Linked DNA regions of Solanum lycopersicum. The protein of the gene in region 1 interacts with the protein of each later gene in a pairwise test. Links are inferred from orthologs where the notes say so. Each region holds a gene or a part of one and is shown on either strand. Other genes may lie near its edges.

What was found. The genes of interacting proteins can lie anywhere in the genome.
Region 2: the proteins of protein ACCUMULATION AND REPLICATION OF CHLOROPLASTS 3, chloroplastic (region 1) and cell division topological specificity factor homolog, chloroplastic interact in binary tests that used the Arabidopsis thaliana proteins (3 or more experiments, as listed by UniProt). The link is inferred for Solanum lycopersicum from reciprocal best matches to the Arabidopsis thaliana genes ARC3 and MINE1.

What each region holds. Positions count from the first base shown.
Region 1 is NC_090800.1:2,338,679-2,349,451, reverse strand, and holds the end of protein ACCUMULATION AND REPLICATION OF CHLOROPLASTS 3, chloroplastic, read left to right. Parts: intron 1-150; coding exon 151-222; intron 223-875; coding exon 876-986; intron 987-1,256; coding exon 1,257-1,438; intron 1,439-2,438; coding exon 2,439-2,696; intron 2,697-2,798; coding exon 2,799-2,863; intron 2,864-3,001; coding exon 3,002-3,399; intron 3,400-3,835; coding exon 3,836-3,940; intron 3,941-4,268; coding exon 4,269-4,406; intron 4,407-6,064; coding exon 6,065-6,231; intron 6,232-7,055; coding exon 7,056-7,128; 3' UTR 7,129-7,549; downstream 7,550-10,773. UniProt on the Arabidopsis thaliana protein: Together with MIND1 and MCD1, regulates FtsZ ring positioning in chloroplasts in an ARC6-dependent manner. Z-ring accessory protein involved in the initiation of plastid division and division site placement (might functionally replace bacterial MinC).
Region 2 is NC_090804.1:6,241,616-6,251,265, forward strand, and holds cell division topological specificity factor homolog, chloroplastic, read left to right. Parts: upstream 1-4,413; 5' UTR 4,414-4,712; coding exon 4,713-4,799; intron 4,800-7,591; coding exon 7,592-8,209; 3' UTR 8,210-8,443; downstream 8,444-9,650. Other genes in the region: uncharacterized protein, read right to left, coding at 241-311, 650-1,013, 1,433-1,681. UniProt on the Arabidopsis thaliana protein: Acts as a topological specificity factor during plastid division and specify plastid constriction sites (such as the Z-ring) in a MCD1-dependent manner. Especially involved in epidermal plastids division in a FTSZ1-dependent manner.

The DNA of each region.
Region 1 (10,773 bases):
TCTCCAATAAGTCTCTTGATTCTTTTTTCCTCTCTTTTCCTTTTCTTCTTTTTTCTGCTTTCTGGCTCTTGTTTTCTTAGTGCCTTGTACAACTTTTGATTAATGAATTTATCTAATATCTGTCTGTCTGTAAACTTGCAACAATAACAGGAGGACCACATAAAGCTTCTAGATGCGACAGATTGTGGTACAAAAGAACTGAGTGGTCCAGAGCTAATAAAAGTAAGAACTATAATCTTGTTTTACGTAGTAAGTTGAATTGCTGATAACATAGATTTTATTTGGAGTGTGTCATCTCTAGTAGTTCTTATCCTTGGAAATCGCGGTTATGTACAACTTAGTAAATTTTCTTTGCTCTAGAGGCAATACTTTTGGTTGTCTTTCAACTTTTGTTAAGGTTGAAAATTGCACCTTCTGTTAGTTCTTAGAAAAGGAGTCGCTTTATAGGAGTTTAGATGATTTCATGAAAAAAATAAGAGATGAGATAAATTTTTTTGGAAGAATAGAAAGAAGGAAGAAAAAATTGAAGAAAAGGAGAAGAAGATTCATAAGGAGGAGAAAGAACAGAAAGTAAATTCATTCACCTTGTATTCAGACAACAACAACAAAATACGCAGTGTAGTCCCACAAGTGGGGAGACAGTAACTTCATTCATCTTGCATTCAGACAAATTATTAATTCTTATTGGTGAGCAGAAGAAGAAATTAGTGGATGTTAAAGTAATATACTCTATATAAAAAAATGGACCATTTCAATCCAAAAGTTCTTAAATTGGATCCCTCTCTCATGAAATTTGAAGATTCTGTTGCGGAACTTCATACTTTTTTTTAATTTTTTTGTCTGCTCAAATTAAAGGCTAAAGTGATTATTTACAGATTCTTGAAAGCTACAAAGAGGCAAAAACTGGATTCGGAGCTGGCTACAATGTCGAAACTTCAATTCTGCGAGCTGTATATGACTGCCCGTTCCTTGGTTTGGGAGTGAAGGTCAGAAATAGTTCAACTATTTGTCAGATTATATGCTTTCGGTTCCCATCCATCCACACACTTACAGCTAGTAATTCCTGCTTTGGACTTATGACTTCAATCAAGTTTATTATATCCTTTTAATTTAATCACTTTTCACTAGATTTATTGAAGGTATTTCCTGTAAGCTAGTATGGTTTCTCTCTCTATCTGACTCTCTCTCTCTAGACCTTGTGGTCTTCTGACCTCCATTTTGACGCCTTTATCCTCTTTGCTTATGTTCTTTCTTAGGGGTCAAATGGTGTGGTTATATGCATCATTGCTAGTTCAGGTGTTGTAAATTCCAGTGATGTGCGTAGCATCTTGCGCACGTTTCGCCAAACTACTGGATGTAATGGAGACATTGTGATATCAATTGTCCAGGAAGCCAATTTGGAGCCAAATTTAATAGTTACTACTGTAGTGACATGTGGGTAAGTTGTTAAATGAATGCTGAGCCAAAATCTATCCTCATCTTTTTGTTAAGAGTAGTTATATTTGTTTCATGAGATCTATCTTGTTTAGGACTTGCTACTCTCTAAATATATTTTTTCCTCTAATTTGCTTATGGCACTTCATGAATGCGCATTATATGAATTGATCTCCTTAATATAGGGTAGGGGTGGCAATCACCTGGGATGTGTGGGTGGTGGGATGATGATGATTGTGGACTGAGCTGTAATTGTTCTGTACAAGATGGTTAAGAGAGTAACTTATCAAAGGGACAACAACAACATAACCAGTGTTATCCCATAGGTGGGGTCTTGGAAGGGTAGAGTGTACGCAGAGCTTACTCCTCCCTCGTGGGGGTAGAGAGGTTGTTTTAGAAAGATCTTAGCTCAGGTAACACATATCGAAGTAGTTTGAAAAAAATATACATAAGTAAAGAGGACATAACAAATAATAGGGGAAGACGTTATAGAGCATTCAAAAAACAAGGAATAGTAACAATAGGCAATAGCCATATAAATGCGATAACTGAAGCACATGAATTAACGGGTAGTAACAGAAATCGTAGGACAAGAAACTACGAGAGTCTGTCTTTGGTCATTTTACCGCATATTGGTTTTAAGAACACACCATATCTGACATATATAACTATATTGAAGCTCTGATTTTTCCTTGGTGCTTTGGTTTAAAAAAAAAAAAAAGTTTCCGGCAAAATATATTTTATGTGCGTACTGACTAATCATTGAATGTCTAGTGCCTGCTATTGGTTGATATCAAGATACTGGAATTGTATCCTCTTGCCTTTTTGGTTTTGTTCGAGTGCCTGTATACTGTGTGTTTCTTTCTGTCTGGTTCTATTATTTGTTGGCACACTATTCACTTCAGATGTTTTATCAAATGATTTGCTATAGAGTTTAACCTGTTCTTTTAGCGAATTTGCACTACTATCTAAAATCCTAATTCTTGAGTATTTATTATTCATAGGTACGCTACACAGGAACCATCTGAAAAAAGTAGCTTATTTTCTAGACTAGCGCAACATATTCCTTTCATTTTTAATATCCTTAAGAAGCCAGATCCACCACTTCTAACTGCCAAAGAGAGTGAAATTGATGAGAGTCCAGAAACTTCTGATATGGCAGAATTTGTTTCTATGGATAATACACCTGAGGATATGTCCATCTATTCTGGGGAACTGCCGGCATTATTTCCTACCAATGGTGAAGAAACATCCTTTTTGAGGTCTTTTTCTACTCTTTTAGAACTATCTAAGTTCACCTTTGCTTAAATCATTCTTGGACGACTTATTGTGCTTGCTCTTAGAGAAAGTTTGTTGCTATGCAGAGATTATAATAATGTCTCTGATGAAAGGAAGATTGAACTGTCAAATTCTGATGTTGCAACTGAAGGTACATAATTATTTTCATGCAGTAGCATCTTGACATGAATGCAAGAAATATTCATCAATTGCAATAAGATGAAAGTGGACAACAAAGATATGAGCTTATAATGGAATAGTGAAATCCTGACCAGATTGAATTTTGCAGCACCTCTTGTTTTCAAAAGAGAGCTGCTCACAAGATGGAATCCGGGTCCAGGAAAAGACACTTCAGAAGGCTTAGCTGCAGAAGGGACTGAAAACTCGGAAGGCAAAAACACGGTTGACAATACCAGCACCTACAAACTTCCAGTTGGTGTAAAGCATAAAGAACAGTTGCAAACTAGTGCAGGTTCCTCAAACTCAAGAAGTTCAGGGAGGAAATCTGAAGAAAGTAAAGTTGCACAGCCTAGAGATATCTCAAATCTATCTCAGGATGAAGTAGATGAAGATTACAGCGAAATTATTTCAGATGTTTACAACTCCAACCTTCCCTTAGTTGAAAAAAGCTACGCCAGTGGCCCAAAAAGGAAAGGAGTTCTGTCTACTCGGGCAGCCTCTATGCTGGTAAATAGCCTCTCTTTTTTATTGTTACTATTATTTTATTATCACCAAGTGTAACAACTTTACAAAGCCAAAGCTCACTATCACACCAGCTGTATAACCTTACTCCAATTAACTAGAAAAGTAAAGACTGTACTATATGTCTAGTTCTAATTGTAGCTCTCACGTTACTTACAGGAGCTATTTCTCTTGCTATTCGATCTGGCATCGTACTCTTTTTCTAAACAATCCTTTGGTTTTGCATTTGTGTTTTGGTGCTTGTCCATCGTTTAAGCTGCAGGACATGGCACCAGAGCCATTTCCTCCTCCCTCCACCTCAAATTTATTCATGTATAGAGGAAGCTAGACATCTTAGTGTGTTGAATGGTTGTATGACAAGGTAGAATTATGTTGGAGAGTTTTGACGCAAAGTTAAATTTATTTTTATCATCATACTCAGGAAGCTGAACGGGATTCAAAAAAGAAGTGGATCCCTGTAGTTGAAATGAAATACAGGGGAGGTATATACAGAGGTCGCATTGAAGGAGGCCTCCCAGAAGGAAAGGTACTTTGATCTATCTATTACAGTCTCAGAAAACCTGTTTTCTGGGTTACTTTTTTTTAACTACGTGCAGTGCAAAACAGTTTTTTTTTTCCGAAGTATTATGAACCATCTTTTTGAATATTTTTAACATAAAATTTTATGATTTGTAGTGCTTTTAATATACTTTAGCAGTACGTAAATTTATTTTCAAAAAAATCGTTATCTTAATTCACTCTGTAACTTAGATGCATTGACCTTCATGCTATGAACCATGCCGCTCAACATTGGGATGATGAGTATATTTTTTTTCTCGTGTTTGTCTGGATGAAGTGAATTTTGAATTTTATAGGGCTGCCTGTCTCTTGAAGATGGAAGCAAATACGATGGTATGTGGCGCTACGGGAAGAAGTCAGGATTGGGTACATTTTACTTCAATAACGGTGATACTTATCGGGGTTCATGGAGAGATGATCTCATGCATGGAAAGGTACTAATAATCCTTAAGTGCTTTTCAGAGTTTGATAGTTCTCTATTAATTTACTATACAAAAACTAGTGTGCGTGCACTTCTGCTGCGTGTTATCAGCTTCTCATTCTATATTTCCTGTTGTTTCAGAAAGTTGTAGTATTTCAATATGTCATGGATTCCCTCAGTTAATGAAAATTTTCTGTTTCCTTTATTAAAAAAGAACACCATGGATAGTGAGACACCTTTTCGAAATATACCAACCAGCATGCAAAAGAGCTTCCTAGGCACGCACGTGGTCTATAGTAGAAAAAGAACCCGAGAGCTTTTTAAGAATGTGGAAACTCGTTTGTGCATTAGAAGAGCGTGTTGGTTTTTGGTCAAACATTTTACCTACTATATTTACGTTTTGGAAGACTGGGTGCTCTCTTTGAAGGACCATGTTTGAGATTATCCACTTTCTGTATATAAATACTCCCATTTAAATCAGTAAATTTTTTACTTCATCAAAAAACAAGCCAACTATCCAAATTATTCCGATTAATTGCTTTTCAAGCATCAATTGAGTTGAACTTGATAACAATTGTTTTCAAGAATTCTGAAGTATTTTGGAGAAATACTTTGTATTTGTGGCATCTTTCGTGTAACTTCTGGATCTGTACAGATTCATCCATGCTTGGTTTCATAATGAGAATTTGCGAAGCTGATTCTTTGAGAATGGTAACAGTTATTATAAACTCCAGCAGAAAGGCAGTGATGGGTGCCATATTTACAAACACAAGACAGCTCCATGGCACCCTTGATTCTTCTTTCAAGGATTCTAAAGCTTCCAAAATTGATACTGAATGATCTGTATAATTTTCATTACACCAAAAGTGAAAAAATAAAATACAATTCAACTCGGATCTTTTGGGAAGAATTATATCTATTCCGAAACATCTAGAGTTTCTTTCCTTCCGGATGGTCCCCCATATGCATGTAGGAATTATTCTCCATCTACTCGTGGCTGATACATCTGCCTGAACTGTTCCAACATGACCAACAACTCACTAGTTGATCTTGGCATTATCCATTCAACGCCTATCAATTTAGGAAGATCTGACTTAGCTAGCTAGTGATGAAATCTTCGTTTATCATTCTATTCTCTTGGAACAACGAGCCTAAATGTATAAATTGTTTGCATCTTGGCACCGCAATCCTATATAGTCTTTTTTACCTCAACGTGGCTCTTCTCATGCTTACTAAGCTTGCAGTGCATATATTCAGTCATACACTACTTGTCCTAAAACCACTACTCTCAGAAATGATTATCCATAGTTCAATTTTTTGGTCGACAACCTTGTTGATTTCGTCAATTAACTTACTATGGTCAGCAAATAGCATGCATCATGAGACCTCATCTTGTGTTGTGTTGAACAAGTAGGGATTCAATGTCGATCCCTATTGTAGACAACTATTATGGGAACTCCTTTGTATCTCCTACTACTGTTCTCATTCTAGTGACAATTCCTTTGTGTTTCGGTATATGATAGTTTATTTAGCAATGTTCAAATAAAAATTTGTAGATGCCGTGCATATCACTTGTCAAGCAGATTTTGCACACTCTCCTTTCTCTGGAAAAAGTTTGCATCATCCTAGCTGTCATTGTCTAAACAAATAACACTCTTTAACTATATATAGGGATGGTTTTACTTTCATACTGGGGATCGATGGTTTGCGAACTTCTGGAAGGGAAAGGCTAATGGAGAAGCCCGTTTCTATTCCAAACTTGGTGATGTTTTCTTTGGTCACTTTAAAGATGGATTGCGCCATGGTCAATTTCTCTGTATCAACATTGATGGGACGAGGTATGTTTGTTTAGTTCTCGGTTTTCTAATTCAGACATCGTTTTTACACATTAAAATACAAACGCTGAACTGGAATTTAAAGTTGGATTAACTCAGAAATAATGTTTATTTCCTACTTGAACCATCTCAAATCTTACATCTTTTGAAGTTCCTAGGCTTGCATACGACTTAAATATCTGCAGTACATCTGTCTGTCATAAAAACATAGTTAAGGCTCCATAGTTCTTCCAATTATAAACCTAGGATATAAGGTGAAGAGGTCCATGCTAATACCAGCGGATTGCAGAAATTTATCTCATCCTTCACTCCTTAAACTCCCGTCCGTTCCAAATGTGCTACTTTGTGTTTTTATTTTCCAGAATTTGACACACGTTTCATTCTGCATATTACATGAACTAGTTCTCAGATATCTGCATATAAATTTCATTTAAAATTGGGAATAGTGCAATGCTTAGACACTCGATATTGATATGCAATGGCTGTGGGTTTTAGTATGAGCCAGACTATTCTTCTAATAGATACCTATATGACCAATGTATCAAGCACCCTGTTAGGTTACTAACTCATTACATGTCTGAGAGGTCGATGAACCACCAGCCTTGGCACCACCTGAACCAAGTTGGTTGTACATCGGGTTTCACTTTTTTTTACCGGTAGTGCTAGCTGAATTTTGATCTCTTCGACTCGTTGTGACCAAGAAGCTTGTACACTAATCGATCTTCATGATTTCTGGGCTCTTCTATGATGCTTACACGAGTACTCTTTTGCTATTGTTAATTAAGTACACTTCTTTTGTTATTAATGTAATCCTCATGTTCTATTAGGAGTATAGAGGAATGGGATGAAGGCCTTCTTCAAAGCCGAAAGAATTTGGATTCTGATGCAGAAACCGGGTAGACTGTCTATCGTATCTGTAAAAATATACGATCCTTCGTACATTCTTGGTGTACTAGAGAAACAAATGGCAGAAATATATCAAGCAGGGGCGGGCGGATGCCTATTACGAAGAGTTTTCTTCAATCAGCTTCAATGATCATAACAAAACTATGCTGTAGCAGTAGCAGCAGCTCAGAGTATTATATGAACATCCTCTAAGCATTTGGTTCTTTATTTGACTGGTGAAATCCAATTTGAAAATCTCCAATTCTAACAGATCTTGTATATTATGTAAATAGTAATTTAAAGTTATCTTTTTACATCTAGGGGCATTAGCTCTTGTTGATTTTTATTTTAGGGTATGCCCGAAATTCCAGACATACATTTATACTATTCTAAGGTTCTATTACCTCTGAGCTTATTTATAAATAATCTTTTATTTCTTTTCGGCCTTCGTGACACTATCAACCAAATAGTTTGAAAAGATTGTCAACACGTGTTGGGCCTCAGAAGATAGTGCCACGTAGGTCGAAAAAAGTCAAAATTATTTATAAAATAAGTTCGGGGGTTAATAGGACCTTAGTACAATATATGTGTGCTTATGAGATTTTGGGCATATGGGGGTACTTATACATTTTTTCTATTATTTATTACTCCCTCTGTCCACAATTGTTTGGCAGGTATACTAAAAATAGATGTCCAAGATTAATTGTCAATTTAAATAATCAAGAAATAATTAGTCATCTTTTTTCCAAATTTGCCCTTAATGATAATGTAGTTCAATTGGGAAGTTAGGTAGACTTTTGATATTCTTGATAGGGTTATATTAGTCAAATTACACATTGTATTAAATTTTTCTTCAGGGGTGTGCATGACTTTAACATGACAAATAATTATGGACGGAGAGAGTATTTTTATTTGGAGCACCTTGTGTATTTTGGAGTTTCATGTTCTTAATTCTTATCGAAACAGAGTCGATAGCATATAATTCGAAAAATTCATGGACTAATAATACTCGTGAAAACAAATATATTCCTGAATTTTTATTTCGTGACATACAAATTTCAGAACAAAAAAAAACGTTTGTCATTTGAAAATAGTGGGTATTTTTTTTCCATTCAATAAGAATTACGCGATTATTTCAAATTTTTCATGTGTTAGTACATGAATTTTACGATGATATGAATTTCCTACACTTACAAAAACTATACAAAACCTTGTGTAATGACTTGGAGAAACAATATCTATAGCCTCACTATAATTCACGCCACTTGCTTAGCATTTAGGGGTCACCCAATCAGATTTTCTCCGTTTTTCGTGTATATTAGTACATAAACTTTTGGTGATATGTATTTCGGATACTTTTGTTTACAAAAATTATACAAATCCTCCATAATTACTTCGGAAAACATTACATATAACTTCACCATAATTTACGTAAGTTATATTTTTTTATATAAGAAAACAACATAAAGTTGCACATATGTATATTAAGAAAAAAAAATTAGCACTACCTGTTAAATAAAATTTTAAATAACAAAAAAACAAATAAATTTTAGAAAAAATATCTAATAATATTTTTGAAAAGAATATTCAGAATAAAAATCATTTTCTCATTCCAAGTTTAAAATTTGTCACTATGTATATCTTGTTTTGTCAAACTTTATGGGAACAAAATGTCTTTACTATTATGTGGATTTTAATGAAGAAAAAACAAAAAGAAAAATTATCTAAAATAAATAAGGTTGTAATTTTTTTTAGCGAAGTCGATTGACACTCCTTGAACAAAAGTGATATCGATATATTAATAGGCTCATCGAGTTTTTTCAACAAACAAAATAAGGCCCAGGGTAGTACGAATTTTTTATTTTCCATTCAGTCACATTAGAGCTACGACTAAATCTGAATCACGCACTGAAGAGCTCATTCGAGAGTAGTGTTCTTAACAAGATTTTCTCCGTACCAAAAATAATCGAACTCGAGACCTTTGTCAAGACTGAAACAGCCGCACCACTATACCACAATCCATATCGATTCACGATTCTATCAATTTGTGTTAAATAGTTCATAACTAATATAAATATATTTAAAAATAATTCTATCATAAAATTGTCATTAGATAATATGTGGCAAACTTTTTTTTTTTCTTTTGAGTGAAGTGTGTTACAATAATTTCAAATATTTGTGTTAACTATATATAGCTAAGTCATATATATATATATATATAGTTATTGAATTAAATTCACCAGCTCATTTAATTGAATATTTGCATTCAGAAGCATTAATTGATATAGCTCCAGGATTAGGGTTCTTAATTAATATGGAGAAATGACTATTCAAAGAGATCGTGAATGGATCTACAGTGTAATTTATGAATTTACGTAAATTTAAAATTTTTATTTTACTTACATTTTTATACGTATATTAGAAATCTTGCCCCAATGAATATCGCTTATTCCATATTACTTTTTCTGTTAATTTATTATAATAATTTATAAACTTTAAATTCCGAATTTAATTGCCCTTAAAACAACATATCACACCAATCAATTACCTCAACAAGAATTCAATGAATTTATTGAATATTAAATAGTAGTACTCCCCAAAGTTTATTTATTATATTAAATTTAAAATATAGTTAAAATTGTACTGGAAATATATTTTAATTAAACGTGAAAATTTAAGTCAAGAGCCCATCTGTAATTAAATCTTGGATGCATTTTCCTATGAGGTCCTTCAATGCCTTACAATTATTAATAATAATAATAATAAAAAACTTACAAACTGTACTAATAGTTTTTATTATAATTTTATTTATTTTTTCATTAATTGTTTTAATTAAAACTCTACTTTAATTTACTTCTAATATCAGGTAGAGAGCAAATTGGATTCACTACATCACGTGCCATTGACATACTATCACGTGAATACATTATCCTCTTTATTGTTGATTTTCGGAATCGGAAATGATGTATTTCTGGTGTATCATTTATTGAGTTCACGATAATAAAAAAGAAGAATCGACAAAGGAGTGGATAATTTCATTTTTGCATTGTAATAATTTTACTAGTACGAGTCACTTTATACGAATAAAGATATTGCAGAAGACAAAATTAATTTTTATATATATATATATATATATATCAAAATATATAAAATCTCAAAAAAACATGTGAAAAGTGTGCTTGCATAAATAATATTGTATGTCAAACTTAAAATAAATTTATAATTTCGAAGGCAAATTCTTGTAATTTCAATAACATTGTATTGGTCTAAAGATATTTATAAAGTAATTAAATTTGTAAAATAATATGAACTTAGATTAAGAAAAATAGATAATATTTTCTTCAAAAAAACAATATTTTTAGTGAAAGTAGAAAAAATAAATTTCATAAATAACACTCTAAATATGTTCCTTCGAATCAAACACATCCCAAAATTCGTGTCATTCTATCAACTTGAAAAATTAGATAAATTCGTAAAAAAGAAATTATAATTCTGAAATAACTTTATCCGCAAAACAAACGTTTCCTTTGTTTTATTTATTTATTTATTTTGTCAACATTAATTGTTCAATGTCAAAGCAACATATTCATTTCTTAGAAATGAAGAATTGAATTATACAACTTTTCATCTATATATATCTATAGTAACCAAATTGAATAA
Region 2 (9,650 bases), on another chromosome or scaffold:
ATTCTAACAGTTCCAAATTTCAATAGTTTTGTTAACTTTTGAAAGCCTAGTCAAACAATCTGAGTGCTGTAGAAAAAGAAGTTCTGATTGGAGCATCTCGAGATCTTCAGGTTGTCATTTTCGGACGATGAAGGATTGATGTTTCAATTGTAAGGTTGGAGAAGTATATTTCAGGTTTATAACTAAATAACTCTGCATAGAATGAAACTTTAGGACTAGCAGCATAGTCGCAAATGTTACCAGGTGCCCCAGTAGGAGGGAAGGAATGACAAATGTCAGAAGACCGGCTTCCAACTTTCCATAGCAAAGTCCTGTTCCAAGATAACAAAAATAAACTCAGAGATCCTTAAATGAACGGAGACCGGAGTGTTCTACAGAAAGTGGAAGTTAAGAGAAGTATAATTTGTTAGATATGAATTATCTATCATAACCGAAAATGATAACTACAGCTAAGGGACAATCAGTAAGTTCCTTTATTCTGAAAATCAGTATACATTTTGTTACATCTCCAAAACCTCAACTTGCAAACAAAAATTACTATCTCTACTAGCCAAATGTGGTATCTAAAATGAGTTCCCATTTGATAATACTGTGATGTGGTAGGTGAAATTGTAACTGCATGTTTATAAAGATGTAACTGGAACCTAACCTTCCTTGAACACAAGTCCTGTCAATGATGCAAATAGTGGTCCGACAAACCAAACAGCTATTGGATTCTCGATAACATATTGAACTAGATTCATGCCAGCTGGGTGAGCAAGGGTAGAATATGTTGCCAATGATCCGATAGCACCGAGGAACCATAAAGCTTGAAGAGAGCGTTTAATTTCAGTCACATAAATGTGAATAAGAAATAATGACAGGCCAAGTCCACACGATCCAATTGCATAAAACAAATCAAGGTTTTTCTCAATCAAGTTACTCGTAACTGAATCATTGGGAAGCAAAGCCACAGAAGACGCAAGAACGAATGAAGCAGCCGCAGTTACTAATCCTGATCTGTACAAAATTACCTGCAAAGTTGATAACATTAACTTTGCATCATCGAGAGTTCGCCATCTTGATTGTTGCAAGAAGAAAATTTTTGTTTTATCTAACAAAATTCATTCAGGCAGGGGACATAGTAACAAAGACAAAACTGAAAAGAATTAATGAACATGAAGGGAGAATCTTTTGTTCATTAACATTGTCAAAAAGAATGCAAACCGATTTCAGTGTATTAGATTGCTAATATTAGCATCCTTCCTTTAGAAATATAGTAAGCATAAATATATTATTGTAGGAGCACAAAGTGCCAGAAACCTTCAATTAAATTTAAGCTATGCTGCATACATTTCTCTTCAACAGTGTTGTGCAACGAATTCAAATGCAACATCTCTAGGTTAAACTAATATATAAACAGCATGGCACAACAGGGTGGAGTTGGTTTTACCTCTCGAATATCAGAGTCTTCGATTGTCCAAGGGCCATAAACGCCTTGATAAATTGTAGGTTGGATCGTCTGGGACTGTGTCTCTGGCTGAGAGCCTTCTCCCAGAGCCCTGCACTTGCAGTCAAAATTGGACGATATTAGGGGTTTGCATTTGCCTAGCTGAAATTTAGACCGCGCTTTTCTAGTAGGAGGCGAGATGCTAAGTGAAAGTGAAATGTATGCTGATGCCGATGCTGTTACTGAATTCATGCTCCCTGGCTAGCTGTTGTCGATCAATGAACTCAAAAACTGTTTCCCCTTGTTCATCTACTCCTGTTAAACCCACAAGTCAAGTAAATGAGAATGTGTAAATGTTATGCATAAGACAAACGAATTCTACATTTACAAAAATATATCCACAAGAACAAAATCTTACAGCCATACTTAGCATCAGGAATGACTACCCATTCCTCAATCCAATAAATCAAAAAGTGATAGCAAAGGAAAACACAACAACAACTTACGCTGTATAATCCCACAAGTGGAGTATTTTGTGTACGCAGACCTTACCCGAGAGGCTATTTTGAAAATGAAACTTAGTTATATTACTAAAAACAACGCAAAACAGTAGTGAAGAAATTTCATGTCATTAAATGAGGACTATACCTTTGTATTTCCTCCTCCTTTTATGCCTAAAAAATACAAAAAATTAAACACCTTGACCATTTTTGTAGCTTAATCCTTGTTATACACCGATTCTTTCAGCCAAAGTTTTGAACAACGCATAATCTAAAAATTTACTTTAAAAAATGACTTCATTCAGGAAATTTATCAAACACATAGGATACAAATAGTTTAATCATAAGAGTCAATAATATCCAATTCTTAGCTAATAGAAGAGAACTCACCTGAAAAATTAGCTAATAGAAAAGGACTCACCGGAAAAATTAGCTAATAGAAAATGACTCACCGGAAAAATCATGGCTAAAATTGGACAATTTTGGTCGATGAACAAGAATGCAAAGGCTGGTAGTGGTGGATACACGTGGAACTGATCCAACAAGGTTTTTGTTGATACTACTAGAATATTCCCTACGGTTAAGCAAATTTAAGATAATCATAAAATCACTATTTTATATAAATATTATTTAAGATAATCGTACCACAACTTTATAAATTAGTTACATGGTTTGATTTCGAGTTTATGTAATTAATCACGTTTATATATGTATTATTTGTTAAAATATACAAATGCATATGTATAATATACAATTATTCAACCATCATATACAATTCACATCTCTCCCACTCTTTTCCCTCTCTCGCTCTCCTCTCTCGTCTCTCTCACAATCTCGCTCGCCTCTCTTCTCCCTCTTGCTATCTCACTTGTCATATATACAAATTCATATGTATAAGACATATTATTATTTAACCAATATACATATACAATTCAAATTTCTCTCATTCTGTCCTCTCTCGCTCGTCTCTCTCTCAATCTCGCTCGTCTCTCTCCTGCCTCTCTCAATCTCGCTAATTTAGTGGCTATACGTCAAAGTTTCCTTTTAAAAAATCAATACTTTGTATTAAGGGGAAAGACTCAAATATGTCATTGAACTTTCAGAAAAGACACATTTATTCCATCAGTTAAAAGTTTGACTCATTTATATCATTACTATTTAAAAAAAGGCTCATTCATGCCATTATTTTTTAATAATGATTTTGCAAAATCATTCACGTGATCAATTATAATTCGGTCACGTCATAAATTTTTTTAATAAAGAAAATTTTTAAAAAATTAATTCAATTTTTATTCAGAATTTTAATTTGTTTATTTTAAAAAATTTATGACGTGGCCAATTATAATTCGGCCACGTCATCAATTTTTTAAACAAAAAAAAATCTAGTTCAATTTTTTTTCTTCATAATTATGATTTTTTTATTTAAAAAATTGATGACATAGCCGAATTACAATTGGCCACGTGTCAAAATGGTTTTGCAAAATCACTGTTAAAAAATAATGGCATGAATTAACCTTTTCTTGAACGGTAATGACATAGATGAGTCAAACTTTAAACGGATGACATAAATAAGTTTTTTCTAAAAATTCAATGGCATATTTGAGTTTTTTTATTCTTGTATTAATAATAATAATAATTATAATATATTGTTTGGTATTACCTTGCGTCTCTAATTTCACCCCCTTTTCTATTGAAACCGTCAATAAGGTGAATACTTGGTTGTTTATGCGATTATTAGTAATGAAGATTGGTTTGCGAGTATTAATATAATACTAAAGAGATTATTGTTATAGATAATTACATACCTTAAACGAGTAGTTTTCATCTTTAGATATTTCATTCTGTGTAGAATAATGTATTTATTTTTACATAATTTATATAAATATTTTTTAAGATAATCGTAAAATCACTATTTTATAATTCTAAGTCGATTCTTTTCAATGCATTCAATCAAACACTATGTTCGTAAAAAAAAGTCAGGTGCTGAATCGAGAAAAGACACATGAAGGAAGTGGCAGCTCAGGTTTGACTTAATGACACTGAATATATTCTCAACGGTGATGAAAAGAAATAACCTTGTTCCAAGACATTCCAAGTTCACTACACTTATACATCCACAAGCCCGCCTAGCTCTAGAGCGTCGAGATTTGACATCGGACCATACCTAAATATGATAAGCATGAAGCCCAACCACTATCGAAAGATTCGCGATACTCCTCCTCCAAAAATTGCATAACAATTGCAGACGTGAGTCAAGGAGAGTCTACGTGAAGGTTGTGTTCTACAAAAGTTGCTCTATTAAGCTTTGTCATTCATTGTTTTGTTCATTATCAACAACATCAAACTTGCCCGATGCCGCAACCAAATTCTAGTACCAGACCTCGAGGTGTTTCTATTCAATTACTTTACTGTTTAATTTCATTTTATATTACACTCGTTATTCATTCATATTGATTAAAACAAGTTATTTTCTCCCTAAATTACGCATTCTCGGTCATCTCAGTCTGTATATACTCGAGTCACGTCAATAAATTTAAATTTACCATTTTTATCTCAAGCGAAATTTTATGCAGAGATTAGTTATTCGAATACATAACTAAAACACAATCCCTAAAGATCAAAACAAAAGAATTCACATGTACCCGGGAACGACGTCGTAATAATGAGCTGAGTACGTAGGGTTGGCGTGAGCTCTACTGTATTGGCAATTTCACCTGAAAGTTCCCATTTCCAAACCCTAACCTCCGTTTCTGTGCGAAGTAGAAGCAGTGAGAAAGAGAAAAATGGCAATTTCAGGAGATTTTAGGGTCTCCGCTACATTGGTTCCATACCCAAAGAATCCACTTCGGACCTCTTTACCTCCTTCAAAGGTTTGACTTTTCATAGATTAACAAATTCATGTTTTTTATACGATTTTAAGTGAATTGTTTGTTGGGAATTTGTTAAGTTGTTAACTTTATGGGAATGTTAGCTTCATCCAATCATTTCGCCAAATCTAAGAGATTGTGTTACTGTAATTTTTGAGGAAATTTCTATAGCTTTTCTTGGGTACCTTTTTTTAAAATTTGGTGATATGGGTCTACATTTGTTTACAAGTAGTTGTGATTTGTGAATGAAGTGAGCATCATGAGGTTTCAGATTGAAATCCCAGCAGAAATGAAAAAAACTAGGTGATTTCTTCTCATTTGTTCTAGCATGGGTGGATAGAGTTACTTGGATTCCTGTTGCTGTTGGGAGGTGTACAATGTACTCTTTTATAGTCAAAGATTCGTTTTTTTCTCCTCGGTTTTGAATGTAGAGTTCTAAGATTGAGAAACTTTCAGAATTGGAGGGCTTAAGTGCTAGGTGTCTTGTGTTTTTTAAAAGATGAGTAAGTGCTTGGTAACTATGTGAATTAGCTGTTTCCACCTACTGCTGATTAAGCTAAGTGGGAAAAGTAGCTAGGGCTAGTATGGACTATGGTTGATGGAGTTTGGAAATAGGTGAGAAGCATCATCTGAGTAATGTCTAGCTTATTGATCAGGGCTCTATTTAAGGATGTGTTTGGAGCTTCTGGGACTTGTTAGGTGAAGGATTTTCTTGCTAATTCTCTTTTGGCATGCGTGAACAGGAGTTGATCAACAGTGAAGGCAGGGATCATGAGTCCCAATGCCTTTGCTTGAGGTCTATATGTACACACACACACATGTTGAAACTTTTTTAGAAGTATTTTTACAGTCAATTGAGCATATTTTGTTACAAAAAAAAAGTAGTGAGCTTAGAGGTACTCCACACCCCTGGCTTATGATTCTGGACCTGCTTTTGTGACGGAAGCTTGGGTAATGGTCCCATGTTGTTGGTGTGTGTGTATTAGGAAAGTTCCTGTATGGTTATTGATGACTAAATTAATTTAGTTTTTTTTCCCGCTTTAAATAAGAGTTGATGGACATAATCTTAATCACCACTTTTCTTCTGGCTTACTTCATTTACATGTGAAGAAAATGAACTTAGGGTCTATGCGACCTCAAAAGCTAGCTATGAGATGAGGATTGTGCTAGACTGTGTACGGAGAAAACATACCATTCCCTCAAATATGGGACGGCTCCACCCCCATGCTCATACACACCCACCCACCCACCAACCCAGACCGAACTGGACATTTGGTGTGTAGAGAACATAACATGGGCGTCCATTGGGTAAACTAAGAACAGTGATGAGTTTGGTTGTGATGAACCTTGGGCTTAATTCAACATGAAAAGGTACCTCATGAGGTAAGGATTGTCCAAGACTATGTGAGGAGATAACAACCCATTAACTCAGGCTCAACCAATGTTCTAGTGGAAGAGAGTGTTTCCCACTGAATTGCTTGGACATTCACTACACTTTTTCCTTCTTTCTTGAGATGATGGCTTTTCTGTTAGGACTTAGGACACAGTAAAGTTTTCAAAATTATCTCAATGCATTGATTCGTTTGAGCTTATGTTGTTTGGAACTTTGGTTGTTTTTTCCCTTAACAGTTAACATTTTCTACGTGAATTTGGTGCCTTAACTCCGACTAATTTACATCTGCTCATGTTAGCATAGCACTAATTTACACCTGTTCATGTTAGCATAGCCACATTTTTTTAGTAATTTGATTTATAGGCATGTAGTTATTGCACAGATGGTAATGCCATTGGTGCATAGCCTTTCCAAAAACATGCACCATTGACATTATCAGACTTAAATATGTACTTGTGGTCTTGTTGCTTGAGACCTCTTCAATAACGCCTAATATGGTTCCTATAATTGCAATGAGGACTGAGTGGTTGACACTTCTAATACCGAATATTTGTGTCGCGGCATATTAGAGAAGCTGGCTAGGTCCTATTTAAAAGAAAAGGCTAGACTAATTGGTGCCTACTTGGTCTTCGTCTCTTTTGCCGAGATGGTTGAATTAGTTAACTGGGCCCTAAATGTGATTCACAGTTCAACTGGTCTTCTTCATTCTGCCTGGTACCAGGTCGATATGTGCTCAAAAGTTGCTTCCTTGATTTCTAGTTTTAGTTCAATTTTGTCTTCCTTTTTTCCCTCTTTGGATCTTAGAGCCTAGCTAAATGTGAGATGTTGTGTCCAAGCTGGATCAGATGTGCTCAAGGTGTAAAATATTCATGGTCATACATTTGCATCAATTGGGTCCATGTGTGCGTCTCTGTAAAAAGTACTTTGAACTCTTAACTCATCAGTGGATATGCTTGTGCAATATGTTTATTCATTGATTCACCTGGATTTATCGTTTGCTTCAAATGCTGAACTATATTTTTTTTCCTTGATAGATGAAGAAGCAATAAAATGGTTATGTTTACTTATTCCCCAACGAAAAACTTTTGCCGATATCCTTTTAAGTGCGTTCTCTATATCTTTTGAATCCTAGCACTTTCAAAGATTGGGTTATTGGTAAACCATGCTTGAATGTAGATTTTTAATATTTGCATCTCTACTTGTGCTTTTTACTAAAGCTGTGTCAGAAAAATTGTAAGCATTGGGAAATAATGGTTCCTACAAGCTGTGCAATATGTAGGAAAGCGTGTGCGTCCTAGCATCTTGTAAACAATTTCATAAAATGTGCCTAAATTTTTGTGTTGTGTTTTCCCATTGTTTGTATCATGACCACAATGAAAGATAATTTTCTTTCACATTGCAGGTAGATTTTAGTGCCTTTCTTAATGGTGGATCTAGTTCCTCTGAGGTGTTGCCCAAATGGTCTCGTCTATCATCTGATAGCCATAGCTTCCGATGCCACTCAAGAAAGCCTCTTGGGATTCTTGGAGACTATAAAGTAGCAGCAAGTTCCATCAGCCAGGAATTTGATAATTTACTCCTCAATGCTATCAGCATGAGCTTTTTTGAGCGCCTAAGCTTGGCTTGGAAGATAATGTTTCCACCATCCCCTTCGGCAAGTAATTCTGCTGCTAATGTTGCTAAGCAACGCCTGAGGATGATTCTCTTCTCTGATAGATGTGCTGTCAGTGATGAGGCCAAACAGAAGATTGTAAGCAACGTCGTTAGTGCTCTCTCTGATTTTGTGGAAATAGAATCGCAGGAGAAAGTACAGCTGAGCGTCTCAACGGATCCAGACCTAGGGACAATCTACTCTGTCACAGTGCCAGTCAGACGGGTGAGATCAGAATACCAGGTAGAGGATCCAACTGGGACAATAACAAATGTTGAGTACAAAGACACTGGAGATAATTCTGGTTCAGTTGATGTCAAGTTCGACTTTTACATTCCAGACGAGAATTTCAATGACTATGGTATGTGAAACCTGTACATGCCTTTGCCTAACCGGAAAGTGGGTTGAAATGTCTTGTTTGTCTGGCATTTGATAAATTCTTTTCACCTTTTTAAACATACTTAGTAGGTGTTACGATCAACTTAGACTGCTGTAAATACCTGAAAATCCCTTTTGGGAGTGTTCGATGAATTTGCTAGTATTGGTTACAATCCAAGACACTTTTGTAACAATTCGTTATATGTAACCATTGTTTTTAGGCAAGTGTGTATCTTCAATGCATTTTTTTTGTGTTTGTAAAAGAGTATTTCTGTTTGCAGGAAAGATATATCGGAAAAAGTTGGTTATCGAGATGAGATAGATAAGGATATATCACCTTCTATATGAGATATAAAATGGTTTTCGGGATTAATCAATATTCATAACCAAATGCAAAGATAATACATTTTTGGTTGGTATTTTTCTTATTATACATAGAGAAAGCTAAAGAAGCATTACCTATATTGTATACTAATTTATCTTAAAAAAACAAATCGTTAGACTAATTCGATTTATTTGTTGCAATTTTCTTATTTAGAACTACTATTATTCTATCGCAATAATAGAAGTCCAGTTTTACTTTGGATGAGATTTAAGTAGTGAAATCATACGTACCTTGATATTTAACTTAATGCATTATAATTGGGAGATAAATACGACTTTTTCGAAAGAACATGAGAAAATATTGTTACTACTCCCTTCATTTCAAATTAAATGAGTTGTTGAGATATTTTTTCATTTTTCAAATTAAATTAGTTGTTCAGTTTTCAAGAAATTTATTGAGTTGTTGAGACATTTTTTCATTTTTCAAATTAATTAGTTGTTCAGTTTTCAAGAGTATTTTTAGAGTGTTATTTCAATTTTAATCTTCACTAGTTAATATTGAAATTAATGATTAATTAATATTTGAGGAAAGGATCAAAATAGTCTCTCTTCTTTGGGTTAAGGCTCAAAGTGGTTCTTGAGTTTTCACACGGAGGACTAATAGTTTTTCATGTTTGCAATATTGGTGCACTTTTGGTTTTTCTTCAAAATTTTACCTATTTTTTTGCATTGATTTATCCATAACCTATGTATGGGATGTTCAATCTTCATTTTATATATTTAGTAGAAATAACAACTCCATATCGAAGAATGTTAGAAGAAAAAAATTTGTTTTGTTTAGTAGAAATTTTATAGCAGGTAAAGTTCAGATGTTCATCACGATAATTTCACGCGCAATAGTATAATTTTTTCTTTTTCTATAAAGTCATATGTTAAGATGTTCTTAGTTTAGTTGCAGTAATATTTCTAGTGAACAAAACAAGATTTTTTTCTTATCACCTTCTCTCAGATAGAGTTATTATTTCTATTAAATATATAAAAAGACGACTGGACATTCCTTATATAAAATTTTGAACAAAATAAATGTTAAAAAATAGGCAAAAAGTTT